4 linked regions of the Caenorhabditis elegans genome follow. Changing the gene in region 4 together with the main gene of any one other region gives a genetic interaction. Each region holds a gene or a part of one and is shown on either strand. Other genes may lie near its edges. The genes, in order: rpl-3, mel-11, F56D2.3 and clk-2.

The links.
Region 1: changes in clk-2 (region 4) and rpl-3 together harm fitness more than expected from each alone (negative genetic interaction), as found in Caenorhabditis elegans (one large-scale study listed by BioGRID).
Region 2: changes in clk-2 (region 4) and mel-11 together harm fitness more than expected from each alone (negative genetic interaction), as found in Caenorhabditis elegans (one large-scale study listed by BioGRID).
Region 3: changes in clk-2 (region 4) and F56D2.3 together harm fitness more than expected from each alone (negative genetic interaction), as found in Caenorhabditis elegans (one large-scale study listed by BioGRID).

What each region holds. Positions count from the first base shown.
Region 1 is NC_003281.10:3,864,684-3,871,621, reverse strand, and holds rpl-3 (Large ribosomal subunit protein uL3), read right to left. Parts: upstream 3,769-6,938; 5' UTR 3,760-3,768; coding exon 3,395-3,759; exon of another isoform or gene 3,393-3,394; intron 3,294-3,392; exon of another isoform or gene 3,178-3,293; coding exon 3,042-3,177; exon of another isoform or gene 3,040-3,041; intron 2,994-3,039; coding exon 2,553-2,993; exon of another isoform or gene 2,551-2,552; intron 2,418-2,550; coding exon 2,154-2,417; 3' UTR 2,035-2,153; downstream 1-2,034. Other genes in the region: tir-1 (ADP-ribosyl cyclase/cyclic ADP-ribose hydrolase), read left to right, coding at 1-1,022, 1,179-1,296, 1,345-1,439; acs-19 (Acetyl-coenzyme A synthetase), read right to left, coding at 4,792-5,620, 5,672-5,998, 6,057-6,172, 6,297-6,938. UniProt on the Caenorhabditis elegans protein: The L3 protein is a component of the large subunit of cytoplasmic ribosomes.
Region 2 is NC_003280.10:9,354,845-9,362,549, reverse strand, and holds the start of mel-11 (cGMP-dependent protein kinase interacting domain-containing protein), read right to left. Parts: upstream 4,020-7,705; 5' UTR 4,017-4,019; coding exon 3,936-4,016; intron 2,626-3,935; coding exon 2,425-2,625; intron 1,861-2,424; coding exon 1,306-1,860; intron 902-1,305; coding exon 684-901; intron 507-683; coding exon 177-506; intron 1-176.
Region 3 is NC_003281.10:5,581,469-5,588,807, reverse strand, and holds F56D2.3 (DUF148 domain-containing protein), read right to left. Parts: upstream 3,862-7,339; 5' UTR 3,747-3,861; coding exon 3,624-3,746; intron 3,170-3,623; coding exon 3,045-3,169; intron 2,900-3,044; coding exon 2,695-2,899; intron 2,648-2,694; coding exon 2,418-2,647; intron 2,204-2,417; coding exon 2,023-2,203; 3' UTR 1,698-2,022; downstream 1-1,697. Other genes in the region: F56D2.2 (RBR-type E3 ubiquitin transferase), read right to left, coding at 1-383, 432-530, 579-670, 718-831, 880-1,032, 1,084-1,362, 1,417-1,545; uev-2 (UBC core domain-containing protein), read right to left, coding at 4,595-4,781, 4,922-5,072, 5,165-5,252, 5,294-5,413, 5,521-5,667; F56D2.8 (DUF4440 domain-containing protein), read left to right, coding at 6,397-6,574, 6,620-6,795, 6,873-6,920.
Region 4 is NC_003281.10:7,513,400-7,521,856, reverse strand, and holds clk-2 (Telomere length regulation protein clk-2), read left to right. Parts: upstream 1-3,332; coding exon 3,333-3,488; intron 3,489-3,539; coding exon 3,540-3,747; intron 3,748-3,798; coding exon 3,799-3,932; intron 3,933-3,979; coding exon 3,980-4,312; intron 4,313-4,363; coding exon 4,364-4,516; intron 4,517-4,565; coding exon 4,566-4,669; intron 4,670-4,713; coding exon 4,714-5,878; intron 5,879-5,984; coding exon 5,985-6,079; intron 6,080-6,128; coding exon 6,129-6,234; intron 6,235-6,280; coding exon 6,281-6,460; 3' UTR 6,461-6,635; downstream 6,636-8,457. Other genes in the region: lig-4 (DNA ligase IV), read right to left, coding at 1-214, 267-387; C07H6.2 (E3 ubiquitin-protein ligase PPP1R11), read right to left, coding at 525-848; akap-17A (RRM domain-containing protein), read left to right, coding at 1,160-1,282, 1,333-1,695, 1,750-1,908, 1,955-2,080, 2,259-2,374, 2,417-2,501, 2,552-2,930, 2,983-3,119; cls-1 (Protein CLASP-1), read right to left, coding at 6,691-6,756, 6,801-7,283, 7,507-7,864, 7,970-8,139, 8,216-8,457. UniProt on the Caenorhabditis elegans protein: DNA damage checkpoint protein required for DNA damage-induced cell cycle arrest and apoptosis, thereby playing a role in genome stability. Regulator of telomere length.

The sequences.
Region 1 (6,938 bases), 3.6 Mb from region 4:
TCCAAGCATTAAAAGAAGTGGCCTCCTCTCCAGACGAGGTCGCTGCCAAGTTCGCCTCCGAAGCACTCACGGTTATCGGCGAAGAGGTTCCCTATAAACTCGCTCAACAAGTACCTGGCTGGACATGCGCAGATGTTCAATATTGGGTGAAGAAGATTGGTTTTGAGGAGTACGTTGAGAAGTTCGCTAAACAAATGGTCGATGGAGATCTTTTACTTCAATTAACTGAGAATGATCTGAAGCATGATGTTGGAATGATCTCTGGACTTCATCGAAAACGATTCTTAAGAGAGCTTCAAACATTAAAAGTTGCTGCTGATTACTCATCGGTTGACGAGTCGAATTTGGACAACTTCTTGATGGGATTAAGTCCAGAACTTTCTGTTTACACCTACCAAATGCTCACAAATGGAGTCAACCGGTCTCTTCTCTCCTCACTCACCGACGAAATGATGCAAAACGCTTGTGGAATCACGAACCCGATTCATCGACTCAAGTTGACACAAGCATTTGAAACCGCAAAACATCCGGATGACGTGGAAGTTGCAATGCTCTCCAAGCAAATTGATGTCTTCATTTCATACAGAAGAAGTACAGGAAACCAACTCGCAAGTCTCATTAAAGTACTCCTCCAACTCCGCGGATACAGAGTGTTCATTGATGTCGATAAGTTGTATGCTGGAAAATTCGACAGCTCATTGCTCAAGAACATTCAAGCCGCCAAACATTTCATCCTTGTTCTCACACCAAACAGTTTGGATAGACTTTTAAATGATGATAACTGTGAGGATTGGGTGCACAAAGAGCTGAAATGTGCATTTGAACACCAGAAGAACATTATTCCAATCTTTGATACTGCATTCGAATTCCCAACAAAAGAAGATCAAATTCCGAATGATATTCGAATGATTACAAAGTATAATGGTGTTAAATGGGTTCACGACTATCAGGATGCATGTATGGCAAAAGTTGTACGTTTTATTACTGGAGAGTTGAACAGAACGACACCGACCACCAAAGAAGTGAGTTTATTCACAAAATATTATATTGCACGAGCACAAAAATTTGAGAATACGTAATGGTAACAAAGAAAACTACAGTACCTCCTTTAGTGACTACTATAGCTCTTTATGTGCTCGATTTTCGAAGGTTTTATCAATTATATCTTTTATTTTCAGATGCCTTCTATCTCCCGAAAAACTACCCAACAACGGTGGCAGACCACAAATACAGTAAGCCGTACTGGGCCATCCAGAAGCATCGGTGGACCAAGAATGGAACCTCCTACGCCAACGTGTAAGTTGTTGAAACATCGTCACTTGGTATATTATTTAATTTTTTTAGTCTTTTCAGTTACACCAACTGGATCACAAGAACGTGCAACATCGACGAGAAGGAAAATTCAGCCTTCTGCATCCACAACTTCCGATCGGAATTAAGTCTCTTCTTTAATCAATACATCAAGTGCCGGTTCATTTTATCCATTTTCCAACAAAAAACCAATTTTCTTCAACCATCCCAATATCAAATATCAAACTCCCAATGTCTTTCAATCATCCCACACGAAAGTTTTAATGTATTTGACCCTCATTTTAAATCAGTCAAAACCTCAAAAAAAGTGTTCCACAAAAAACTGGAAATTCAAAGCGTAGAATCTATGATTTCAACTGTCTCTCTCTCTTCCTCATTTACCCAATGCCCTGCCGTTTTCTGCAAATAATAATAATAATTGTAATAATCTCTATAAATTATGTGATTGATGTCTTTATGAAACCAAAAAGAAAACTCTGAAACTTCACTTTCTTATAATCTTTCTGTTTATATATTCCGATCTCCATCTGTTTCATTCGTTTCACTTTTTCTGTTTTATTTCCTGCAACGTGTAATAGTCGATCAACCCCCAACTCAGGAACCCATCAAATTCGAACCCTTTAACTCCCTCTTTAAATTGAACTTTTTATCTTAACAATTACCGGGTCTAACACCCTTCCAGATTTCTAATGTTATACCTAATGAATGTTTCGGATTATTATTCTTCAATACAAGCAGCATAGTCCTTCAGATTCAACAAAAAAGCATACTCAAAGTGTATTCAAAATGTGAACAGTGAAGAAACATTTGATAACAATAACAATTTATTTGAATAAACAAATTTAAGCCTTAGCTTCGGCCTCGGCAAGGAAATCTCTCTTGAGTTTTCCCATGAAAGCACGCTTCTCGGCTGTGGTTTGGAAGCGACCGTGTCCGGTCTTGGAACTGGTGTCGATCCACTTGAGGTTGATCTTCTCGTGGGCGACTCTCTTGGTTTGGGTGATGAGCGACTTGCGGAGGGTGATAAGACGCTTCTTTGGTCCGAGAACGGCTCCACGAAGCATGATGTAGTCCTGGTTGACGATACCGTATCTTGGGAATCCTCCCTAAAACAAAACAATTATTAAAAATTCATGAAAATTGATTACAACGCCCGATGTTCTCAGATAAAATATAGTCGCCATACAGAGTACGAATTGCAGACTTTTTCTTCATAGAACGGTGAAAAAAATAAAACGAACCATTGGGGTGATGGTCTTCTGGGTAAGATCGAACTCGGTGGATCCGTTGTTCTTTCCTTCCTCAGTGAGAGCAGACTTTCCAATACGGTAGATCTTGTTGTTGATGATGGTACGGTGATGGAATCCCTTTTGTCCAGCACGAGCGACAGTGAAGGCGACACGAGATGGATGCCAAGCTCCAATACAGGCGACCTTGCGGAGACCCTTGTGCGTCTTGCGAGGAAGCTTCTTGGTGTGCCATCTGCTGGTGACTCCCTTGAATCCGTGACCTCTGGTAACTCCGATGGTGTCAATCATCTCATCCTGAGCGAAGACGGTATCAACCTGGACTTGTTTCTCGAGATGCTCGCGAGCCCAGTCGACCTTCTGCTCGATGGTTCCTCCGTTGACTTGGATTTCGACGAGGTGAGCCTTCTTTTGGCGACGGCGAAGGATCTTCATCTGCAAAATATAACTTAAGAATACAAACAAACTAAATATAAATATTACCTGAGTGTGAGCGATCACACGGATAGAAGAGCAGTACTTCTTCAGCTTGGCGAAATCAGCCTCGATGAGCTTCTTTCCATCCTCATCTTGCCACTTCTTGGCGTACTTGGTGAAAGCCTTCTTCTTGGATTTAGCCCTGTAGTTTCTACGATTACGAACAAAATGCCTTTCAGCGTACAGGACGCTTTAGCCACTCAGTTCGTTTACCATCATGTACATAAGTACAGCGGAAGGCAACCGACTTAGAAACGCGACTGCAAATACAGACTTGTAATCACGAAACCACCAAATGACACCAAAAACGCACCATAACACTGAATACAAAAAACGAAATAGTTGAAAAATAAACTAACCAGTTGCTGTAGAAGCGACGACGAGCTTCCTCGGACAAGTGCTCGGCCCAGATGGTGGTAAGAGCACGTGGTCCTTGTGGGGTGTCGACGTATCCGGTAACTCCAGCAATAACCATTGGTGGGGTCTCGACGATGGTGACGGCTTCGACAACCTCCTTCTTGTTAACCTTTGATCCTGGCTTATCGACATCACGGACGATATGGGTCATACCGGCCTTGTATCCGAGGAAAGCGGTCAAATGGATTGGCTTGCTCTTGTCATCCTTTGGGAAAGCCTTGATTCTTCCACGGTAAGTGCGGGAGCGCTTCTTTGGGGTGAATCCCATGTGTCCATGTCTCGGGGCCGAAAACTTTCGGTGAGACATTGTTGTACCCTGAAAAATATTAATTTTACGAAAAAATTATAGAAAAAGCATGAGCGAACAAAGAATAAAAATTGCGTTTTCGGTTAAAAAATTTTTTAAATAACTACTTTTCTAGACAGATACTAATTTGAACATTTTAAATTTAGAATTGCACGTAAAAAAACAAAATTTATTCGAAAAAAACATGAAAATTTTAGGCTAAAACAAATTGAAATGAAGTTTAGGCCAGTGAAAGGCGTTGGGAGACCCACACACTCGGCGCACACTTGTGCGTCGCAAAACACGCTTTTACCGTAGCTGTGGCGGCGGAGTGTACAAGTGTACGACAAGCGCGGTTGTTTGAATTCGATTTCTTTCGCAGTTGGAGAGATTCTGCAAATAATAATGTTTTTAAATACATTGTTTTTTAACGGGAAATATTCATGTAAATCAAGTTTTATTTTGAAGCATCATTATATAATCAAGAAAATCGATTTGCTTTGTTCAAACGGCCTATCAAAACAACACACTTTATGCTTAAAATAATTCATTTTCCTGTAATTTTGCAATGCAAGTTAAATCAAATATTATTTTGTATTGAACTTTCGTGGTTTTTATCATAATTCATAAAAATTGAGCTAAACATCAGATTCACTGGGCATATGAAATGCATTTCTCCATGTAAGTATTTAATCTTCTTCTTGTAATTTCATGTTTCGTGTTTTAATTATCCGAATAAGCCAAAATTGTTATCTGAAAATCTGAAATTGAGTTAAAACAATTAATCAGTTCTGAATCATTTACTTGTTTTCTAATTTCGAATTCAGGGTTCAATAAATTACTGGGGGAAATTACAACACTGGAATTTAATTCTACACAGGAGTCAATCAGGGAATGCATCTTGATTACAAAGAAGGTCATGTTGGGGTTAAAAGTTTAGATCTTGCATTGATTCTGCAGAAATTACAACGATAGAGGGGGAAAAGAGAAGTAATACAGAAAAAGTAACATTAATAGTAAGAATTGAATTGATTTACAATTGTTCAAGTTCGTTTATGCACGTGCAGAACGTCCAGAGATTAGTTGTTTGATGACAGATTCGTCGACTAGAGTAGTAGTATCACCGATTCCACTTTCGGATCCTTCAGCAATCTTTCTCAAGATTCTTCTGGTAACCTTGCCGGAACGAGTTTTTGGAAGTCCTGGAGCTTCTTGGATAACATCTGGAACAGCCAATGCACCAATTTTCTCGCGAACTAGTTTCTTGAGCTCAGCCACAAGCTTTTCATTGATTCTCTCTCCAACATTCAAAGTGACGAATGCGTATGGGAAGGATCCCTTGATGTCATGTGGAGCAGCAACAACGGCAGCTTCAGCAACTTTCTCATGAGCCACAAGAGCTGATTCAATTTCAGCAGTAGACAGAAGATGACCACTGACATTCATCAAATCATCAACACGTCCAGTTATCCACAAGTATCCATCTTCATCACGTCTGGCACCATCTCCAGTGAAATAGTATCCATTGAATGGAGCCAAATAGGTCTTGACAAAGCGTTGCTCATCTCCATAGATTCCACGCATCATTCCAGGCCAGGCACGATCAAAGCATAGTGATCCTTCTCCCGGACCTTCAATAACACGACCTTCAGCATCCAAAAGAACTGGAGATGCTCCGAAGAATGGCATTGCAGCTGCTCCTGGCTTCATTGGAGTTGCTCCTGGAAGGCATGTGATCATGTGTCCTCCAGTTTCAGTTTGCCAGTAAGTATCCACAATGGATACATTGGAAAGTCCAACTTGCTTGTACAACCACATCCATGCAGCAGGATTGATGGGCTCTCCAACTGTTCCGATAACCTTGAGAGTTTTGCGAGAAGAGCTGAAAATTAAAAATAAAGATGCTGAACAATTATTTTTGAATAATTATTACCTTTCAAGCCACTGATTTCCGAGAGCCATAAGAGCTCTTGCGGCTGTTGGTGAGGTATACAGCTTGGTCACACCATACTTATCAGTGACATCCCACATTCTAGAAGGAGTCGGATAAGTCGGCACACCTTCATACCAAATTCCCTTGAGCCCATTCATCAAAGGTCCATAAAGAAGGTACGAGTGTCCGGTGATCCATCCACAATCGGCAGTACACCAGTAAACATCGTCTTCTTGTGCATCAAAAGTGTATTTTGTGGTTGCGTAGGCGTACGTCATGTATCCAGCTGTAGTGTGTTGAATACCTTTCGGTTTTCCGGTTGAGCCACTGAAAATTAACAATTTGAATTAAATGAGAAATAAGTAAATTCTAATTCTGAACTAACGATGTGTAGAGAATAAATAGCGGATCTTCAGAATCCATCCATTCTACCGGGGAATCCACGCCTGCACACTTGAGCATCTCCGAATCGTAGATGACGGTGATATCGGTGTAATCGACCTGAAAAATGTTTTTTGTTGTAATTTTAAATGAAAAATCAATAAAACTTAATTTTTTTCTGGTTTTTCTGAATTTGAGACTACTTTGAGCATTTTAGAGCATTAAATTTATTATATTTAGTTACCTTGGGAAGTTCCACTCCATCAGGCTTCGTGACTCGTTTTAAGTGTTCCACCATAATGATAGCTTCCACTTTGACATCTTCCTGCGATGCGAGAACGGCAGCTGCATCCGCAATTGACTTGAGCCCAATTGGTTTAGCTCCTCGAAAAACTCCGTCCGCCGTAACCAAAACTCTGCAGCGAGCGTCGACAACACGAGCGGCAAGTGATTCGGCAGAGAAACCAGCGAAAACAACAGAATGCATTGCTCCGATACGGGCACACGCAAGCATTGCAACTGCTAATTCGGGAATCATTGGAAGATATAAAGCAACCACATCGCCTCGTTTGACGCCATGAGATCTCAGAACAGCGGAGAATTGGACTACTTGGGCGTGTAGCTCGTTGTATGTCCAGGTGGAGGTGTCGGTTGGCTCGTTTCCTTCGAAAATGTAGGCGATTTTGTTTCCATATCCACGTTTAATGTTTCTTTCCAAACAGTTGTACGAGATGTTAGTCTTGGCTCCATCCATAAACTTGACGAAGACATTTCCAGCTTTCGAGTCGAAATTCCATTCGAGACCCTTAGAGGTTCCTTGTTCGAAATGGAGTTCAGATGAGACGGTACGCCAGAACTCGTCAGCATCGTTGATCGAGGAACGGTA
Region 2 (7,705 bases), on a different chromosome or scaffold from region 4:
GTGACCTGTTTAAGAACAAAATTCAGTTTTTTTTTTGAAATTAAAACGAGCAATTCTCGAAAATAAAAAGCTTGCAGACGTGTCCCTGAATGAGAGGGGAGAAGTTTCAAACTCATAGGGTGGTGGAAATTGCAGGAGAAAACATAAATTTCCAGCTCAAAAGCCTGCTCACTCACCTCGTTATAGATATACTCCTCGAACTTGTAGTTTCCGATCGAAGCGGTGAAATTTCTTTTCCATTTTTTAATTCAGCTTCACTTTTTTCTTCCTCTTCTTCTTCAACATCTTCTTCTTCTTCATCTTCTTCAGCTTCTTCCATTTCATCTTCTGCGACATATTCTTCATCATCAACAGCTGATTCTTTCGATGATTCTCTTGAATCTTTTTGTGCAGCAGAAATATCATTTTCACCGATAACAATGGTGGTTGTGGTGGTATTTGTGTTGGATGATGTGGTCGAGCCAACTGATGCAGTGGATGGATGCGAGTGAAGAAACTCGTTTTCACTGGAGAAATATAAAAAAATAGACAAAAAAATAGAGAAGCGATAGGATATAGTGGAATAATTGAGGGTGAACATGCAATGTTTTTAAAATATTTTTTTGAGGAAATTCTGATTCAGATTTTTCCCAATAAAACTTTCCAATATTAAATTTTCAAATTATTAATTTCTAAACCCCCACCTATGCTGATCCTTATGCTGTAAATCTCGTTTCCGTTCACTTGTCAGAACATGTTCCTCGTGTGACGGCATTCTATGATTCTTCTCCTGAAGTATTGAAGTTGGTGGCTGGGAGCCACTACCCGGTGATTTTCGCTTGTTCTGTACTTTCACAGTGTCAGCCAACTCGACAAGATAATCGATGCATTCTTTATCAGCTACTCCAAGAACGTCAGCACCCTGAAAATTGTTTTTTTTTTAAATAAAAATTTAAAAAAATTTAAAGCAATTGGTGTGAATTTATATACTTTTGATAAAAATAAAGTTTGTACATTTTTTCAGTAAATAATATTTTTTATCTTTGAAAAAACATATTTTGGTATGACAAATGTTTTTAAATTCAGTTTTGTTGTCGTTTTTCTTTGATAGGACTTCCATGTCGGCGTCGAAACGCCTGCCTGGCTTAATTAAGGCGACCTCTGCCTTCCTCATTTATTTTTTAAATTTGATTTTCATCGAATTGAAATTCGAAGATAAGAAATTTGAAAATTCACGCCAGAATACAGAAAATAGGCGAGTGGCTGGTAGGTTTCAAGCAGGCGCCAGGTCTTGAAAACCGCAACAGAAAAACTGTAAACCCCTACCGTAAACGTTAGATCCGATAATTCCGCTCCATTTTCCAATAATATTTTACATGCATCTCGTTCAGCCCAATGTGCAGCCGCATGCAACGGAGTCCATCCTTCGACATCCTGTGCCCGTACATTTCCACCCGCTTTGATAAGTAATTCGAGTAATTGTGTGTATCCTCGCCCAGCAGCTACATGCATTGCAGTTCCACCTGTTCTGTGGTGAGGAATATCTCGATATTCTCCCTGACTCATCCACATATTCACATCTTTCAACATTGTCTGAAGTTCTTGATCTCTACAAGCATCGAGATCAATCATTTGTCGCTTGTAATCATCGTCAAGATAATCACGACATTGTTCATCTACTGCAAGATCAAGTGCTAACTCTTTATCACTATTAACTATTGAGAGATCGGCTCCATGTTGACACAAATATCTGACTATTGCCACATTTCCACAACATGCAGCTGCGTGAAGAGGTGTCCATCCTTCATTATCTTGTGCATTCACATCGGCTCCTTTTTCACAAAGAAATCGAACCATTTCGGGTTTTGAATCAATTACCGACTGAAAATATTCAATTTCGAATGTTTTGTTTATGCAATATTTCAATTTTTCAATGTTCTATCCATATGCAAAACGTTGCGATTTGTTTCAAAAGTACGGTCTCGAAGCACCAAATTTAAAATATTGTGCGCCTTAAAGGAGTACTGTAGCTGTTTTTAAAGAACTTTTTTTTTACGAAAAATGTGTTTTTTAAGGATTCAAAAAGAATTTTTTTAAAATTTATTTTTGAACTTTTATTTCCAGAAAAAGTTAAGGTTGTTTTCTAAAATAAATTCCAAATTAAATTCGTTTTGTTTTTATCAATTTCATTTTTTTTTGTAATTTCGTTGCTCCAGCCCTGCTCTCTGTTGTTGCAGGATTTTCCTCGATGTTTCATACGTTTTCAAACGTTTGTTTAACTTTTATTGAAAAACATGTGCAATTTTGAAGAAACTGTAGAAAAACTACAGTACTCCTTTAGGTTCACCTCGAGACCGGGTATCGTATTTTTTTAAACAAAATTCACGAAACTTCACATATGGACGATACAAGTACCAAATTGTCAATAATAAATGCAAATCTCACCTGATGCAATGCGGTCAACCCGTCAACTGTACAAGTATTAATATTGGCACCCTTGTTCAACAGTTCTTCAACTTCTTCTTCATCTCCAGACATACATGCCGACAGAAAAATATCACTGTCTTGAAATTGTACTTTTGGACGTTTCGTTCGCCGAGCTGCTTCTGCGTTCATCTCGCTGCTCTGCCAACGGCGCAATTGATCCTGAAAATTTAAAAATTACAAATAAATGGTTTTTTTTGTTTAAAAAATATTAAATTTATTGAATGTTTAAACTTCGAACCCTCGGCGTAAAAAAGAGTAAAAGTTGGCACACGCCGAGAGAGCTCACAAATTGTGTTTGCACCTGTTTGCACAATTGATTAACAAGTATAAACGACTGGATTTCGGTCGTGATTGTCGTTTTTTTTTTGTTCACTAAATACCTACTGGTTTGTAATTTTTTTTAGAAATTAATTTTTGAATGATCAAGAGAAAAAGTTTCAAAGCAAATGGAAAAAAATAAAACGAATAATCGTCCGATTAGAATGAGTCAAAACTTGACACTGATAAGAAAAAAGTTCAACCGGAAGCCTGTGGAAACTATCAAAAAAAGATCAAAAAACGTTCTCTTTTGGTGGTTTTTTTTCCGGAGAAGAGACGAAAGAGACGTCGTCGTCGTCGCCGTCGTCGTGTCCCTGTGCCCGCTGACTCACTTTTATTGTCAATGTGTTTGTATGGAAAATGGCAGGAAAAATGGAGAACGGGGGTGGAGGAGGAAACATGGAAAATGAAGGAAGAACGACGGTTCAGACAAAAAATCATAGAGAGCAAGGTGTTTTCAGAAACTTTCTCTAGAATAATTTTAAATTTCTCAAATTTTTAATTCGAAAAAAAAAACTACAAAAAAACTGAACAAGCTTCAAACTGGAAAATTAAGCAGATGAAATTTTTTAAAGATTTTCACGTCAAAAAACGGGTCCCCGGTCTCGAAACGATTCATTTATGTTTAATGCAAAAAGGCTTGCGCCTTTAAAGAGTACTGTAATTTCAACCTACTATTGTTGTGAAATTCCATGATTTTTTTAACGTTTTTCGTTTTTGAAAATATATTAATTTACTGAACAAAAAAAGACAACTATGAAAACTATGGAAAAAAAAATGAAAATTCCTTTTTGAAAGTTACAGTAACCTTTAAAGGTGCATAACTTTTCGCATTTAACAGAAATCTTTCGTGTCGAGACCGGGTACCGTACTTTTGGCGCAAAAACCGAAGAAAGTCGGCCAAAAATTTGATATTTAAAGTTCGAAGATCACTTTTAACAAAAATGAAATTTCAAACTGATTTTTAATTTATAATGTTGAAATTTAAATATAAATTTAGACAATTTCTTCAATTTAAACGAAGAAAATTTTAGTTTTATTTTACTATTTTAATTTGTGATAAACGAGGTTTTTACCAAATTTTTTTTCGCAAAAATTACAGATTTATTTTTTTGTTGAATTTTGTTTTCAAACTTTTGAAAAAAGCTCACCTTTCTCTTATTCACAACATTAAAAGTGATTTGCTGCTTTGCTTGCAGCATATGCGCATCGTCCTCGTCATCTTGACCCATTCTGCAAAATATGAAATTTTTTTAGTAAAAAATGTTGTTGTTTGAGATAGGTTCAATCAGAAAAGCAAAGAACGATGAGAAAAGTGATACAAATGACGTTCGTTTCATTGATACAATAATGGGTAGAAATTCCAAAAAATATATAAAGTATTTTGTAAAAATATTATGGTTTTGGAAACGAGAAAAAATAGATCAAACGATGAAGCTTGGGAAAAATGACTCGTATTCACACACAGACACCCACAAGAAATGACCAGTTTAGCGTGTGACTGAAACCGGAGACTTATTCCGCGTATTCGACCACCTCCAAGTCAATTACTCTTCATATCCCACCACCACTACTTTAACGTTCACTCATTTCCCGGTTCATCCTTCTTTTGAAATATGAGACCACAACTATTCGATTAATCTTTTGACTAAAGTTTCATAGCTTTTGCGTATAAATCTTGGAATGTGAATACCCGAATTTTCGAAATCTGCCGGTTTTTCGGTTTTCCGAAATACCAAAAAATCAAAAAATTTACGGGTTTTTCTAAAAAAAAAAATCTAAAAAATGCAACGTTCTTGTTAAATAAAAAACCAAAAATCGAAAAATCGAATACCGTATATAATTATAAAACACTTATAAATGGTTCTAAATTTTTTTTAATTTTGCAACAAAAATGTGCAATTTGAATTTTTTGGCAAAACTGAAAAAAAAAATTTCAAACTTCAAATTTATAAATAATTTAAAACCATTTTTAAATATATATATTCGTTCATTAGGACCAATTTTCAATAATTTTAAGCAAACTATCCATGGACTCCGCCATTAAAAATATATCCTTAAGGATATATAAATATAATACTAATCAATACAACTCCCACTCATCCATTGAAAAGTGCGGCAAGTGGGTGAAAATAGTGAGGCAGTGAAGATCAGAAAAGGCTTAGAGAATTAGATAAAGTGATGTGATAAAGGTGGTTTTGGATTGTGGATACACCGGAGAACAAATATTATGAAATTGGGCACTATTTCCGGTGCAATTTGTTTTCTAAAAATATTGGTGTAAAATATCTATGTTCAAAAATTTTATAAAATGAAATATTTAGAGTTTCCAAAGTTTCTAAAAAAAGTTTGCGGTGAGTCATTGAAGACTAACTAAACAAATTTGGAAAAATAATTGAAAAAGGCAAGGCATTTCTGTAAAAAACGCTTAAAATTTTTGAAAATTGCCAATCAATGTTTATATTTCAAAAGAAATGTTATATTTTTGGAAAGAAACATTTCTTTTTTTTTTGCAATCAATGTTAATATAAAACATTGGCTATGGCATTTAAATTAAAAATTCATTGTTTAAAAAATCTAGGTTCAATGTTCAGAAAATGAGAAATTAAAAAACAATTTTCGAGTAACGGACACATTGAACTAATTCCAGAGAAAAAATGGAACAGTGCCCCCGGGATTAGGGGCGACAAGTCGATGGATAGGTCGTTCTCTCTCTCTCTATTTTCAACGATATAGACAGAAAGAGAGAATTAGTGATTCGAGACGCAGATACACCATCATCCAAGAGAAAGAGACCGGGAGGGACGTACTTGAAACTTTCCGCCTGCACGCGGCGTGTCTGCGTCTATTAAACACCGCTCAATATATTTCGACTCTCTCGCTCTGTTCTCTTTTCCCGCATCATTATACACACAGCGGCAGTTGGCTGGTTGCCCTCTCTTCCCATCATCCTTCTCCCGATCCTCCTCTCACCGTTCTCTTATTCATCATCATCCTTAACCTGTTGTGCTGCTTGGTGGTCGTGGTGATGGTTAGCGCTTACTAATAAGCTCTTGGAACTCTTGAAAAATCTCGGTAGCAGCATCACACAAAAAATGGTTGTAAATAGAGAGAAAGAGACAACTATTAGCACTTGTCAACGATTTGCGGTTTTTTAAGAACCAGGTCAAGATGGTATTTACTGCCCACGCAAGAACACTTCAAAAATGAGGTACAAAAGAACAATCATTGAAAAAGCATGTAATAAGTTAGAAAAACCTAAAATGTTTTGTTTTGAAATCGTATCAACTTTACGGCCCAGTCACCGTGAGTACTCAAAGCCACAGGCGAGCATCAGAATGTCATAAACTAGAGATACACTTCCCAGGGCAGCTAGATAGAATACAAAGAACGTGTGTGTAATACATAAATTATGTGTGCACTCTTTGAAGTGAAAAAACACACATAAATTGAATGAGCAAACATCTACGTTCATCTATAATAGAGTCTCGAGAAGTTGTGAGTACAAGTGCACACTGATCAGATCACCTAACTTTGTGTATAACTGTCTGATCAAAGCGTTCTTTTCGTGTACTCAACCATTGCCAAAGATATTGATCTTTCTTGTGAGACTCCGAAAGTCTCGTATCTAGGTGTGAATCTATACCGGAAAAGGGATGAACAACGGAAGTTAATTTTACAGTCTATAAGAAGTGACAGGCGGAAATCCAAAAGGTAAAGATTTCAATAAATCCTTATTACTGTATATTATTCTGTTAAAACAGCTGGCTCTTTTTAATCATTCGCGAGCAGGTGTATAAATTGGACACTCCCTTTTTCAAAAATTACCGCCTCGTTGGACAGTTCTCCCCCGAAAATCTAGACTATTATGAATTGACGATCGCCTATGCCTCTTCCGCCACAATATTATCAAGAATGTCCTTAATTTGGATTGATTATTCCGAGGTATTCGCGGTGCGGCGCTGAGATGTTCACTATCATAGGACAAGTATATACAAAGAAAAGGAATTTGATCGCGGTAACAAAGACTGAAGACAAGATATGGAGTCAAAGAAATGTTTCGCTAATTTTGAACAATAGAAGAACTTACAAGTCAATTCTAGTAAAACAAAATGTTCAGAAAATATATCTACTTTATTTTTAAAATAGCCCTCTAGACATGTACTTTATCAGCAGTATCATCAGATCAGCTGGTCCACATAAAAAGTACGAAGGATCAATTGGGAGTAGAGTGATGAGATTTGGACGGAAAACAGCTGGTTTTGAAGGAGGAGGGAAACGAACATGTACACATTGACAAGAAGCGTGTGAATTGGTTGACGAAGAGAATTGGATGAGAAGAGTAAGAAAAGAGAAAGATGTTCAAAAGCATAAGCAAAAGGAAGTAGCAGCTTGGGAATGGCAGGGGACCAACGTAGTGCTCAATTTGTTGTCATTGTTTAGCTTTTGAAATCTCGAATGTATTAGAAAAGCGGACAAGGTGACATTCGTCGGCTAGGCTCAATAAGAGAAATATCGACAAAAAATGCACACACATTTCCTGCATTCGAGTGGCACCAAAAGGAGGTGCTGCTGCAGTTGCCGATTTGACAAACATGGAAGCCAAATTGACGAGAACTAAAAAAAGGAGAGAGGAAGGTATTGAGGGGAGTGTTGGGAGCACCGACGTGTGAATGAATGACTGCAGCAGCTTGAACACCTGTCTGGTACACCTGGTACCGGATATGGATGTCTCGGAATATTCCCAAGAATAAATTATCAGGAAATTACTTAGATGTCGTATTCGGATGTTATAAATGGCTCAGGAGGACTATTAATTTTCAATTGCAATGTTTTTTTTGTTGAAAAATTATTGCTAATTTGGAAGAAAAAAAGTGAAAGCGGTTGACTGGTGTCCATCCATCGAACAACAACTATTTAC
Region 3 (7,339 bases), 1.9 Mb from region 4:
CTCCCTGAAAATGCTTATAAGGATCTTCCTTGTCAAGAGTTTCAGAGCACAACCAACAGAAGTAGGTGTCACACTTCGTACAGTGCATCTTGTGGCATCCTTCATTCTTCTCTATGCTCACCGAGCACTTGGGACACGGTTTGCTGTTCGAATCCAGCCATTCCTCATTGAGGAACCGCTCCACAAGCTCCTCGACACGCTTCTCTCCTCCAAATTGCCTGCACATTTCAGCCTTCTCAGCTTCATCTCCATCCTTCCATCTTTTGACAAGAAGCTCTTTGTCTCCTTTCTTCCATTTGCAGCGTTCTATTCCGTGGAATGTCTGCTTACACAGATTGCAGAACGAAAAGTTACAGTAGGAGCATTCGGCCAGGAAGCGTTGTCTGAAATGTTCTTCTTTTTTACATTTATTTTTATATTTTAAACTATACCTATCCGTGACGTAGGCGACTTTTTGACAATTCTCTCTGGGACACTCCACGGTGTCTTCCATCTCTCGAATCGCCTTCTCCAGCATAATCGTCTCGTATCTGGCGGAAATTCAAATTTGGATTTTTTTTTTTGGAAATGTATCTCACTTTGCATATAAATCATCTCCGAGTGCCTCCTTAACCGTATTTTGTTGTGCTTCACTCTTGCATCCTTCTGCTAGACACTGCATGGCTTTTGACTGTAAATGATCCAATTTTTCCAAAAAAAAAATCGATTGGATCTTACCACAACACCTTTCGATATTGTACGATAATAATCGAAAGTACATTGTTTGCAGAAAACGTGAGAGCACGGCTGGAATTTGATGCAATGTTGGCCCATTTGAGAGTCGTAGCATACCTGGAAGATTGAAAAAATAGTATAATTTTATAACTACGAAAAAATTACTTCACAATCGAAAAGTGTATTGACAAAGTGCTCTTCAGCAGCTTCTTCGCCTTTTCCAAGAATTTTCTTTTTCAGCGATTCAATAGTTTCTCCATTGTTTTTCAGCGCACACGCCTCGTTCAGATTGATGATTTTTAGGTGAGATTGGTCTATCTGAAACTTATTTTTATATATTTAATTTGTTAAAAAGAACAAAAAACTAACCGAATCAATTATCGTTTGATAGCACATAAAAAGCACCTCCATCATCTGGTTTTCCTCGCAAATCCTTGCCAACTCGGTTTCACAAGATGTCATTTGTTCCTGATTCATCCAATAACTTTCCAGTTCAAGTTTTGGTGATGATACTGAGGGATAATCATTTGGAAGATGAAATTTCAATCGGATTGGTGGAAGAATGTCTAGGGGGATGGAAAAATGATCGCTGGAGTCAGACGTTCCTTCAATTGTGACTTTTGGATCGGATAATGTGTCAAATCCTACCTGAAATCAAGAAAAAATTTAATAATAAACTTCTTTATACGCTCAATATTCTACTTCAATTATTCCCCGAATTTCTGCATTTTTATCCGCCCAATCACTGATTCTCGTCAATTTATTCTCCCTTAGCACACTCTCCAGTGCTTCTAGCTCGAATAACTGAGTTTCACGGCTGTCGTCTGACATCTGAAATTTAGTAGAAATTATTTTAACACAAACTAGAACAAGAAAAACTGGTATCGCGTTCAAAATGTTTAGAAATCTAGACTTTTTTAAAAGGGCAAAAAAACCGCTGAAAAAACATGCACCAAACGCGCTCCATCTGACAGAAACAAAGCGTGGATGTTCAAATTCCACTTTTTATTGGAAAGATACGAGTTTTCTAATATATTAGCGCAGAAAATCCCATATATTTATTATTTAAATAACACTGATAAACAATTGATATGCTGAGATTGATAACAACGATTTTGAATGGATTAAGGTTATATTTACAGAAGGCGAACTGAGCAGGTGAGCAAACGCCGAGCTGAAATCACTTGTATATACAGTCAGATAGCTCGTCGTTTCTGGGGATGGAGCACAAGGGAAAGACGTTGGGCAGTTGAGAAAATTAGACGTAAAATACACAAAAAGAAGAATTGCTCATAGAGCACAGATTATTTAAATTTCCACAGTTTTTCCATCTTCGGAAACTCGGATTTGACGAGCTTCAACCACTGCTTGAGTTGGTGCATTACGAGTCATTACTTCAACTTGAGAAGCCATTGATGGGTTTGCCCGATTAAGAGCCTCGGTTTGTCCTGGAGCTGGGAATGGAGCTTGAATTGGGGCAGGTGTTGATCTGAAAGATTTGAGATTTTTCGAAGAGAGCAATAGAGGAGAAACACAAAAATCGACTAAGCATCAATCAATTTTGATATGATTGAATTCTCCGAGAGTGTTACACGGATTGGAATCTTTTTAGGAATACCATGTAACGCCTGCTTCCTGCCTCCCATGCAACCTGCGCCTGCCTACATGCGCGTCTTGCCTACCATGAAAAACTCAATGCTCACCCCGAATCGTTCATAGCATTGAGCTCATTCTTAACGTTCTCTGGAGCCTTAAGCATAAGTTTGTCAAGTTTCTCCTGCTTCTTCTCTACACTCATTTTCTTGTTTTCCATAATTTTCTTGGCCTCTTTCTCAAGCTTCTTCGCCTGTTTGCTAAGCTCTGGAACTGGAGAGGAGACGGTCATCTTGTTGTTTTTCATGATCAGTCTTTTGTGAATATCAGCGAATTTGGACTGAAAAATGTTTGTGTTTGTTGAGAAAAAATTATTTATCTTCTTACCCTTATCTCATCACTCTCATTTGCTAGAACTCTTCGAATATGCATTTGCTTCTGCTCCATATTCATTCTCTGCTCTCCAATAATTTTCTTGATCCGATCCATGGTTTCGCGTTGGTTTTGACGCCAAAATCCCGGTTTGGCCCGTTCCATAGCTCGCTCGCGGTCAGTTTTCTCCATGGGCTCACCGAAGTTGGCTTCTCCAATTCTGAAGGAAAATCAAGATTATTTGTTGCTAAGGTACCGTCTAAAGTGAGTTTTGAATAGATTATCGTTGTAATCTGGCGCTACGGTCAGTTTTTTACTAAGTGGCCGCGAGGAGATAAAACTTGGCCACCTATTCCGGAACTTACCTTGCTCTCATATAACCAAATGGCCCAAAGTCAAATGGATGCTCCCGATGAAAATATCCTTGTGGTGGATTCATGTTGAAAGATGGTCGCCGACGTGGCTCTTGTGTTGGGATTGTTGGAAAACCCTGGAAAATGAATGTTCAGAATTTTCAATAAGGCTTGGTAGGCAGACTCGTTTTCATGAAAGCTTGCCTATTATTTTTTGGTTTTTTTTCTTGCTGGACTCTGGTGTTTGGTGTTGTTTTCATGAAATCTTCAGTCCTTGGTACCTACGTGCCTGTCTACACGCCTACTTTCAATGTGCACAATCTTGATACAAGCGTAGGTGAATGAAGGCAAGCAAGCAGGCGTTTGTGTTCTGATCTAGTTTCAATTAGAAAAATCTACACAACATACCGAAATGGTTGTGACCTTGTAATAATTAACCTTGGGATTTTCGCTACGTGGCCGCGGAAAGCAAAAAACTCGGCCACCGATTTTTTGGCTGACTTGTTGCAAAACAACTCAAAAACTATATTTTAGATGTGAAATCTCTGCCGAAACTGCCACTTAAAAATCCTACAAGCCAAGAAAACTCACATAATAAGCATTAACATAGTCTGGCATGGCAGCTCCCTCATTAGCATCTCCGTATAAAGTTCTCTTGTAGTAAAAGCCGTTGACAACCGCCGAAAATAGAGAAATCAAAAGAATACGTTTCATTTCCAACAACCGACTAGTACAAAAAAAGGAGTCAACTGTGCACGGTCGAGTGGAGTGGACAATGGTCAGCGAGGGGGATCGGGAGGCTCCGAGAGCACACTGTTTGGGAGTAAATAGAGACCTTTGACGGGAGGCGAGGAGGGGCGGTACCACACGATCTAGGCGCGCTCTCGGTGAACCGATAAACCTATACCGTTTCCGGCTTTTTACGTTTAAAACTTTTGGGTTAGAGCTCTCTCCGCGAGGCGATGAGCACACCATGAACAGTGCAGATATCTGACAAGGTGTGCGGGAGAAGTAAATATAGACATTGGGGATGAGGTAATGACGTGCAATCACGAGTATCACCTCTTTTTGAAGGGCATTGCGGTTCATTGCAACGTGGCCGAGAACAAGAAATCGGTGGCCGAGTTTTTTAAATCCTTAGTAGACTGGAGCTTAGTCAAGCATACCTCCCTGCCTACAAATGTTGACTACGTAGATTTATTCTTGTTCTGCCATTTCATTAAGAGATAATGGGAGGACACCCCGACTCAACGAGTTTGGAATAGCTTTATTTGGTACAATAATCACTTTTTTCGTAAAAAGACATGGTTTTGGAAAGAGAATGAAAAATTGGTGTGATCGGGAAAGTAGGGAAAATGGGAAAAATTATCACATAGGTCAGGTAAGTTTGCTGCAAAAAAGGGGCATTGGGATTTAAATAAATGTGTATAGAAAATTGGCACCTTTTTGGAGAAAAATCTGAAAAATTCCATAGAGTGTCGGCAAGAAAGTTTTGAGAAAGTGGAAAAGGTCTTCAACAGAAAACGTTGGCCAATACCAAAAATATAAAAATTTGTGTAATATTAGTTTTCGATGTCAATTGGTAGATCGTCATCATCCTCGTCCGATTCCATGGCACCATTTTGCACTGCCAACTTAGCCTTTGCTGTCTCCCTCTGAATTCCGGAATTCTCGGATACTTCCATGTATCCCACGGCGTTCGGGTTAACTGTCCAAGCATAAGCTCGAGCTTTAGCCTCGTAATTTTCACTGGAACAAGATAATTTTAAAAGTTAAGTGTTCTCTTTTCTCTGTTCAACGACGCTTAGCTCCAAATCGAAGTGGCCTAGAAGAATAGGTGGCCGAGTTTGTTCACATTTGCAGCTGTGCGCCGTTAAAATATATCTAACCGCTGATTCTCATATTCCATCCAGGCTTCAATATTTGCAGCTTGAGTAAGATCGGGCGTTGCAAGTAGATTGCTGATTTCCCTCAGAAGTTTCTTGAGTGAAGTTTCAGAAGACCAGTGCTCTTGTTCCAGCATTTTAAGATAAATTGATCCTGTAAAGATTTTTGTAATAATGCGTTTCTTTTTGCTACCGTTTTCTGTATTTCACACTCAAACATATTTTTTCGAAACAGTTCTAACCAACCTCTGAGGTCCACGTTCGGATGATGAAGCGGCGTTTTGAATTCACAAATTGGCGGAATTATAGGCCATTTGTGAAAGTTCACGGAAACCTGGAGATAATATACTTTTGCGAACTAAAAAGTAATTAAACCTCATATTCCCCTCCCTCCCAGGGGCTTCCTCTCGGTCCAGGTACTGTACATATCCAAGAACACCATATGTCTGCGCCCTCAAAACTAATTGGCTTTGCCGTATACCCTTGCGGTGTTCTCTGAAAAAAAGTTATTTCGACACATGCCACGCCCACTTTTGAAGTAGGCATAAATCAGGCCTAGGTCCCAGGTAGGCAGGCGAGTTAAACTTTGTGTGAAAGCTTACCTCATCCCACTTGGCTTTCTCCTCCTTCACAGTGTTGATTTCATTGGTGAATTCGCGTGAATTGGTTTCAACGTCGAATAATAGCGCATCGGCAGTTTCGCGAAAATATGAGAGATCAACATATTGTCTGTTGCTACGTCTTCGCATGTTTCTGAAAGCTTAAGCTCTAATCTGGAAAGTCAAAGTAATCCAATTCGTGACGAAGCTTCCGGAGCCGCGTTAACTGAACCTAAGCTGGATCTTATTTGAAAAAGCTACAGTGAATATATTCTTAAAGCGCACAAAACGTTGCATATTATCCCACGAGGCCTAAGGCAACCAGAAGCTTCAAACAAAAAGTGAAGAAGAGAGTATGAATACGTGGGATAATATCACAAGTTGAAGAAGAGGCAGGTACGAGAGAAAAAGAGCTACATAATCACACAGAAGCGGATGCCGTCTCTCTATCATTAGTACGTTGTCCTAGAGATGGCCTCTTTCTCTCTCGCGCCCTCTGTTTTAGAATTGAGCATGTAACAAAAACTACACGTGCTCTCAGATTATGTATGTGTGTGTGTGTGTGTGAGCTACTTGATTCCGACGGGTTGGAGGATTAAAGGTATATCTGATGTTGGGCACACTTTTAAACGTGGAATGACGCAACTCCTCTGCCACACACTGCACACGCTTTTTCATTCAGCTAAAATTTATCATGACGAGACCGGATACCGTACGCGGCAGAACCCATGTGGTGTCTTCAAAATGCCCAAAATGATCATGATCATCAATACGACACCAAACATCAACCTCCGCATTGATTGACAATTTTCACATTCTAATTGAATTAGCATTTCGAACTATAAAAATGCTCAGTTCGCCATGTAGCCAAACCAAAATATGCGTCTTCCAATTTTTCTTCTAGCTCTTTCAAGTGCTTCTATTGTCTTTTCATTGGATCCAGTCCCCGAAGAATATGCCAACGTACCGAAGGAGTTCTTCGAAAAGTTCCAGGCAGCTATCAAATCAGGGGACCCAGTTGCAGTAGTGGATCTTTTTGCTCCGGATGATATGCTTCGTAAGTACGATATCAGAAACAATTTTGAAATTTAGTTATTTTCAGCTGTCAGTGGCATGATTGAAGCGGCACAGGGAATCATCAAATCTTTTGAATCTTATCCGACCGGAATAATTGAACGAGTTCGCTACGAGTATGGAGTCATTCAGATTAATGTCAGATATTACCCCAACACGCCCCTTTTGTCCAAAAAAACGACTATTTTCAAGATAAAATACGAGGTAATCAGGGAGTTGGACTAAAATTTTATCCAGCCGCAATCACCAGAATAGATTTGTAGATAAATTTTAATTTGCAGAACAAATGGAAAGGCTGGACAATGGTGCACTTCAGTGATTGGATGTAGTTTCATATTCGAATATCGGGACTTGTATGACCTAAATAAATGTTTTAAATATATTTAAAAATGTTTCGAAAACTTTTCAGAAATCAAATTGGCTGTTACATTTTACCTATCCACCAAAAATTGACAGAATGATACACGGCCTATTGAAGAAATGGTAACAAATCCGTACAAAGTTTTCAGATATTCACAAAACGCAGTAAACGAGAAGAGTCGACTTTCTGGAAGTTTTCCCTTTTCACATGATTTTAATATTCTTTCATTTTTGAACATTGTGTTTTTCTATTCTGTTGGAATAGCTTTAGTTTTTTATGAATCGATAGATTTTATCAATTCCTGAAGAATAAGGTACATGGATAGATACATTTTTCAAAAATTTTAGTGAAAGGTTTGGCAAATTGAAAAATTGAACTTTTGGGGGC
Region 4 (8,457 bases):
TCAGTTCTATATTCTTCAGAAATCTTTTCAGCCAACTGACGAGCTGCTGTTGATGCATCTTTCGAGATAGTTGATACGTAATCAGCCCTGACGTCGTGAAAAGTTTTTGCCATAAAGCTTGCCAACTTAGTCGGTCCCATGTCGAACTTTCTGAACCTCTCGTAATCCGAAACGAAGAACCGTATTATGACAAACATATCAGATGGATCAGAACCTGAATTTAAAAGAATAACGTCACATTGTAATAGTTCGCCCAATTGTCTTACACTTTTCTTTCCATGATTCAAAGTTTTTCTGAAAGGTTGCTTGCTTTGATTTCACATTTGAAGTCCGCCGAATCTTGTTGAAGACGTCAACTACTTCGTCGAAGATCACATCTGACGCCATGAAGATTCTTCAAAAATAATTTTATTGAACATCTATTCGGAATAACGAACGAAAATAAATAAACAAAAGTATGCACAAATTTGGGAAAGAGACGGACAATGAGGGGTAAAATGGGAAAAATCGATTATGAAATATGCTCAATTAGAGCTCTTCGGCTCTTCGTTCTTTTTGTGCTCGACGTGGCCACGACAATGACCGGTTTCACAATCCGAATCAGAATCCGAGCTTGAGTCTTGCCAATTTTTGGGCTTCTTGTAGATACAACAGCATTTGCTCTTCTTCTTGCCCATTCCTTCGTTATCCACTGTTTCGGTGGCCCAAACTACGTGTCGCCGTTCTGAAGTTGATGGCTGAGCTGGATTTGGACTAAGATGAAGCACCAAGTTCTGTTCTCGAGATGGAGGAACGGTGACAGTAGAGGTTTCAGTGCTTGAAGCAGTTTGTTGTTGAGTGTGGCTCATGTTCTGTAATTTAACAATATTTTTTTTTAATTGAACGAAAAATAGTGGAACAAAAAATAAGCCTGACAAATTCTCGTGAAATCAAGTAAACAGCAACAAAAATGTTTCATAATATTTTGTCCGAGTGGACTTCAAAAGACTGCATGGCCTAGAATCCAAATTCATTCCTCGTCCCCATGTGGTGAACTCCTCTCGGACAACTTATTCGAAGAACAATTTTTCATCGAATATTCGATCGAACTTCAATTTATATCGATGTTTCTTCTATTTTAGTGCAAATTTTAATCAAAAAAATTAAACCTTTTGTCAACATGGCGCGAAATTTTCCCACTGCTCTCGATTACCTGGGATCAGAAGCTGAAGATTTTAACAAGGCGCAACACTTGTATCTGAAACCGATGGCTGTTATAAAAATTACCGTAGTGCTGCCTCGGGTACGTTTTTTTAACTATCATAATTACATCGATTTATTATTTAATTGTAGATGACGATCCCGGGACAATCAATATCTAATTGGGATCTCATGGAAAGACTAAAACGTGCAATTGATCCAATTCAAATGGATTCTTGCAAAGTTCGTGAGAGCAATATCGACAGTGTTATTTTTGAAGCGGAACTTCTTTCGCTAGGAATCATGCAGAAAACGATGAAGATTCTCGATGGATTCTCTATGAAAGTGTCTGGATTTGCTGAGCCCTTGAAAGTTAAAACAAAAGAGGCAAAGCTTGATTTTCCAAGTCGTCATGATTGGGATGATTGGTTTATGAAACATAAGATGGACGAGATGAAACCCGGAGAACGTCCTGATACAGTTTATTTGGCAAGAATTCCAGTGAAATGGTTCTGCGTACGTTGCTCCATAACATTGCATTCGAATTTATTTCACCAAACACATTTTTAGGATGGTTACAATGATCTTCCTTCTGAACGACGTCTTCGCGTTGCAATGGAAGCGTTCGGATCTGTTAGAGTTGTCGACATTCCAATTTGTGACCCACTCCGATCTCGAATGAATTCAAAAATCTCTGGTATTCAGCAAAAAGGTTTCGGATTAGGGCAGGTATCGCAGTGTTTTATTTGTAAAATCAAACGAATTGAATTTTTAGGATGTATTTTTTGAAGCATATGTGCAATTTATGGAGTATAAAGGTTTCGCCACTGCCATGGATTCCCTGAGAAATCGTAAATGGGCAAAACGAATTGATGGACGGTTCTTTCAGGCTAATGTCAAGGTATAGTAGGGTAGTAGAGTTAGTTTGCAATTTTGAAAAATCTATCACATTATTTCTAAACGTTCAATATCAATTTTAAAAATTGCATATTCTTCGCTGAAACGAATCACCTCGTGCCACTCTACAGGTTAGTTAATTTCCCAGAATTAAGGTTGAGAAATAGCTTAAAATTTCATAGGTGGATTTCGATCGATCACGTCATCTCAGCGAAGTTCAAATTGCAAAGCGAGCGGAAGAACGACGTCAAATTGAAACGGAACGACTGCGGCAAGAAGAAGAGGAGTTGAATATCAAGTTTGTTGATGCTACAATTTTAAAAATAACTCACCTCTTCAGACGTCAAGAAGAACTGAAAGTTAAACAAGAACTCGATGATAAAGATAGAAGACGAGAAGATAGAGAACGGAAACGCCGCGAAAAGGTTCACTTGAAACGTTTCAAAAAATCATAATAAAACATACGAAATTTCAGAGGGAACTCGAACGAATGGCTGAAGAAGAGAAAAAACGCCTTGAAAAGGAACGACTTGAAGCAGAGCAACGATCACGAGCCACTCGCCGTTTGCAAGGTGTTCGTCTTTTGAAGTTTCTGTTTGAAAAAATTGAAGCACGAGAAGAGAGACGAAAGAGAAAAGAAGAAGAAAAGTTGAAAGATGAGCTGAGCAAAATCAAAGAACTTGAAGAACAACCTGTAGAACAAGAAGACGCATTGAGGCAAGCTCTACTTCAGCAGAGGGAAATTCGAATGCGAGAACGCTTGAAAGAGAAGATGAAAGCTTCAGGAGCAGAGAAGGATAAGAAGAGAGATAAAAATAAGACTTCTAGAAGAAGACGAACTAATAGACATGACAGTGAGTTACCTTAAAATTATTGTCTATTTTTTAATTAAACTTTTTTTTTCAGCTTCATCCTCTTCATCCGAAGATTCTGATTCTCCATCTGATTCTCCCCACTCTCGTCGACAAAGAAAACGTCAAAGTGAAGGAGATGATTTCCGGAGACATCATCATCGGGAGAAAAGTAGAAAACGTGGATCCTAAGAAAACGCGGATCCTATTTTTGTTTCCTATTATTTTACCGGTAATTTCACTTTTTTTAAAACATATTTTTTGATTTTTTTTTCAGAATCTCAATAAACGTATTTACCTCTATTTTTTCTCGTGCATTATTAAACCCTAACCTGGTTTAATTTACTACTCCACGTTCAATTACCTTTCCTGAACGCGAGCTTCGCATTAAAAACAAATTTTCAGATGAATTTACGAAGTCGCCTGGTAAATGCCACGGAACGTGCTGTGCTTTTTCAAATTTTCAAAGATGTGCAGAATGATCCGGAAAAGTACGACAATGCAGTTGAGGCGATCTGTGAATCAATCGACTATTTTGGCAAATTTTTGACCGATAGCGAGGTATTGTCCTGAATTCAATATTTGTGTAATGTTTTATATTTCTAATTGTAGTATCTTACACAAATCAAGCCGATTCTTGATACACAGTGCCCAACAAAGTCGATAATTTGCTTCTCGAAATGTTTGACAAAAGTGAGCACAGATATAAATACTACCACATTTCGAGATGTGATCACCATGCTCGACTGGTTGAAGTATGTCGTTGAAAAATCGCTGACAAGTGCTATTTGTAGCAGTCTGAAAGTTAAAGAAACTGATGGTATGTGATCAAAAATAATTATTCTTCAACTGAGGATTTTTGTTTTTTCAGTCAGTGCAGTTCAGTTGTATCGAGAATTCGCATCAGCATGTTCAAATATTCCGGAGAAAGTTTCGAATTGTTGTGCAAAGGCATTGTCTGGCGAGCATGTCAAATATATCAACACGGTTAAGTGGATATTCAAAGTGGGTTTATAAGTGAAATATCGAGATAGATAACTTCAATTTTCCAGATGAATCTGGTGCAAGGAATTCAAAAGGCTATGCTTCTTGCTCACGACGACATTGTAACTGCTGCCCCGTTCACTTCATTCTACGGATCCGGTGGTCCTTATATGAAGACTGTCGCAGAAATTATTTCATCTGGAAGAAACATAGATATCACCAACAAGGATGGGCTTCTAGTTCAAATGATTGAATGGATTGGTTCACTAAACAATTTTGATTCTCAATGGCGTCGGATGATGTTTCTCATCTTCCAAGAGCCCACATATCAGGGAATTCAAGTTCATGAATCACTACTGACAACATTGTTCCTAATTTCGAAAAGTGACCAAATCTTGAAAGTTAGTGGTTAAAATATAGTTGATTATATGAAAACCAGTAGTTTCTTTCAGCGATGTATCGAAGCCACTGATCTGACTGGAACACTGAAGCGTGTAGTGATGGTTAAGCTCCCGTTTCAGCGAGTTCTCAAACGAAAGACCATCGAGATTCTTATCAATTTTGTTTATCGAACTAAGGAACAATTTGCCATCCAGCTATTAGAGGTAGGGTTTTGAATCTATATTTTCCGTATTTAGCGAAGTTTTTTTCCAGACTTCTGTGAAAATCTGGAGTGATCTCAATTACGCAAAAAGTGCTCCAGAATCACAAGAACGACACATAGTCAGAATGATATTATACTTGGTTCATCTTTTCAGGTAACAAATATATTAAGAACTACAGTAATAACCTGTCCTTTTAGAACATGTTCTTCAATCGATTGGGAGTCACTCTTCCTGAACTCTATGGATGGAGTTCATTGTCGAATGAGCATGTTGCCTATGTACGTCCAAAGTGGTATTTTTGTTAATCAAGCACTGTGCAAGCAAGCGACAAAGCATCGATCGAAAACGCACGGATCAGATGAGCAACCTCCAGAGACTCTAGAAGAAAACAAATTCGTTTCAAGTGAAGTGGGAAAAATATGGTTTGAAGAGATGACGTCAATTTTGGAACATGGATTTAATTCTTCTACAGTGAAAGATTCTGAGCGAGTTCGAGAAACCGCCAACGAAATAACCAAAGACGATTCGGGTGAAGAATTTGAAGAAACCAATGCACAGCGTCTTCAAAACAACAAAGATTCGGCAGCAATCACATCGAAAAACAATCTACGTTTAGATTCTGATGATGACGAAGACTTTCCTGACTATCAAGTTAATGAATCAGAAAAGATCTTCAAGAATTTAGAAATTGGAGAAGAACCGAAAAATAAAGTGACACCTCCAGCATACATTGCAGATGCTTTCGAAATGCTATTAGAGAAAGAAAAATACGAGGTTTTTGAAGCAGCTTTCTTTAATATTACGAATTTGATCAATCGCCGGCCAATTGGATTTCCACAAATCGCTGAGAAGTTGTTCATCCGAATCCTCCATCTTCAAAACAATTTTGGAACGCCTAAATTCAAGGAAACTGTTGATGAAATTGCAGTTGCATGTATCACTCAGCGTCCAGAAATTGTCCCATCTGTAGTGCGTCTGATCATTGCACCAGGTCAAGGTTTCAGTATCAAACAACGTCTTCTTCATTACATTCACAATGCTGCTGATGGAATGGGTGCATTGGATAAGAAACTTGAAGAGTGTGTAATGGCGCAACAATTGAGAATTGGTGGTCCAACGTTAAGTATTATTCTTCATCGAACTATAAACACTGATTATGACGATGAGGATGAAGATCCCCACAGACTTTTAGTTCCTGAATGGCGACGAATGGTGGATGCTCGCATTGCTGCAAATACCAGAAGAATTGGAACGACGCGAGAGCCACCAAGAGCCGGAGTTGTCAATCGTCTCGCACAAGCTGCCAAATATATGTTTTATCCTTTGTTGGTTTTGCCACGTGGTGAGAACGCAAGTCTTTTGGTGAGTACATATGTTTCACAACTTGTCAATTCCTAGTTTATTACGTGTTTTATCTTAGCAATTTTAGAATTTAAACGTCTGATTACTCTAACTAGAAACATTTCAGGGCAAGGACTCCGATCTACTCGCCTCACTCATCATGGTTGCATCGATGGTTTATGTGAGATGTGGCGTATGTCCTCAAATTCATCGAATGTCAAGGTATACCTTTTAACAAGGTTGTGTACAAATTAGTTTTCCTGAATTTCAGTGAGCTTATATCATATGCAACGCCTCATCGATTCTCTGAAAACGCAAAACTACGGACTGCCTGCATCATTGCCCATCTGAATGTGACGACTTTGTTGCCTGGAGATGTTAGTTTGAAAATCAATTTTATTTGATGTTTAACCAAATATTCAGCTTATGGATGAACTGTTTGATGTACCGGCACTTATTGGATGGTTTGATTGGGCCAATTCTGTACTGGTTAATGCATCTTCATCACAATTGGAAAAGGATATGACTCGCCAGTTTGGTCATAGTGTTACAAAACACCTTCAACGTTATCATCCAGCTGTACTGCAACACCAAGACGTTTAAATAGTTACTATTCACTTGTTTTCCTTCTTTTCAAGTACTGTATCATTTCTTACTATCTTGCCAACACTTTGATCTCTACCTCGTTCACTTCTTGCTTTGCCACCCGTTGATATCACCTGTCTCATTCATTTATCAGCATGTTCATAATATCAAAAATAAAATCTTATCAAATGTATTTTACAAAACTGATTGAGTTGACCCGCTTGTTGAAACATTCCGGCTCTTGTGTTCTAGTTAGACGATGCTCCTGATTCGGATGACTTGGCGCGGCCCACGTACAGGTCAATTAGGTTCAGCTGAAAATCGAATGTCTCTTCAAGAAATTTAGTTAAATCCTTACTTTACTGGCATTTAAAGTTCTCAAGTGTGGCTCCATTCTTTGCATTCCAACTCTCTGAACCAGGGCGACTAATCCGAAAACTGCACATTTTCTTACTGTAGATGACATTGATTCGTAGGCAGTGACAAAACATGGTGCAACGTCATTGACAATTAAGTGTAACTCCTCAATATCAATATCTTGGAACATTCTCGTCAACATTTTCAGAATCAGAACACCACGTTGATCATCATCATCTTGACTCAAAATTCGCCTGGAGATCAGAACGACACGCGTAAGAGGCAGATGAGAAGCCAGGATTCGAAGACAATCTTCTGCTGCAACACCCATCGTGTTGTCATCAGATGTACATGCACATTGAAGAACTTTCGAAATTGCAATTTCTGTTGAATCGAACAACTTTGTCGCTTGAGCTGTGCACATTTTCTGAAGAATTCGGAGAGCAAGCTTCTTGCGAATCGATTGTGAGAATGTAGAAAGAATCTGAAATATAAATCTGTTTTTTTAAACAGTAACTTTGCCAACAGGTTCATGTACGCCTTCAATACAGGCGCAAAACCTAACTATATGCCTACAAGACATTGACTTGGAGATGATGTATTTTGCCCGGAAGACTATTTTAACTCGGTCAGAGCGGTAATCTTCTTCACGTCAAAGTAGGCGTTTGTATTCTTCAGGGTAAGTCTCTTATTACTGTCACAATTACCTGATAGATAGAATCCAGCAATTCGTCGAAAAATTGGTTCCAAAGAGTGAAAGAACCTTCACACATCATTCCATGAAGATTCGCCATCGCTTCGTTCAATTTATCAGCCTTCTCGAAATCTCGAATTGCGTCCAATTGATTTCGAATGTAGGCAGCTTGATCCACATGATTTTTGGCAAGATGGGCGGTCGATGTTCGATAATCAGGCGGTGGTGGAGTTGAATACTGATTTTCTGTTGCGATCCTCTCGGTTTGAGAATACTCTTTCCGTGTGGATTCATACGTTGAATAAGTGGTTTTCATGATTGGTTTCTCAATTTCTTCATTGTCCAATGGGCATGGTTTATAGTTGTTGTTGCTGCAAATATCAAGTATTCTCACTAAAACAGTATTTCTAACCCTCCAATCTAGCCTACATATTCATTTATTCTAGAATTATGCAATCCAATAATTACTATCTAACCTTATAAACCGTTCTTTTTCCTTTTCAATTGGCTTCTGGTTGTTCTGCTGACCATTCAACTGTAAAATTCGATAAGCCCAATCACGACATTCCGAAGGTAGCTCTCCGAAGATCATAGTGAAATCAGCAGCGTTGAGAGCAAACAAGGCACATACAAGACGTTCACATGCCTAAATTGAACAATAATTATTTTGAATATTTTATTTAGAGTATGTGTTAGAGAACAAAAAACGAAAAAAAACTAACTGGCATAAGAATAGCTCCAATTCTCGGATCAAACATCCATGCGAACATCTTCCGAATTGCAGCTCTTGTATACGGTGTATCGAGATGTGTTTGCCTCTCCAAACATCTCGGATCCTCTGGCCAAATCTCTTCGAAAAGCAGACAAATGTATTCCAGAAGAGCAAGTCTTGATTTTGGAGACAGTAAATGCACTGGATCACACATGAAATCACAGACAGCCTTCAGTTGAAATGTTGGGTCAA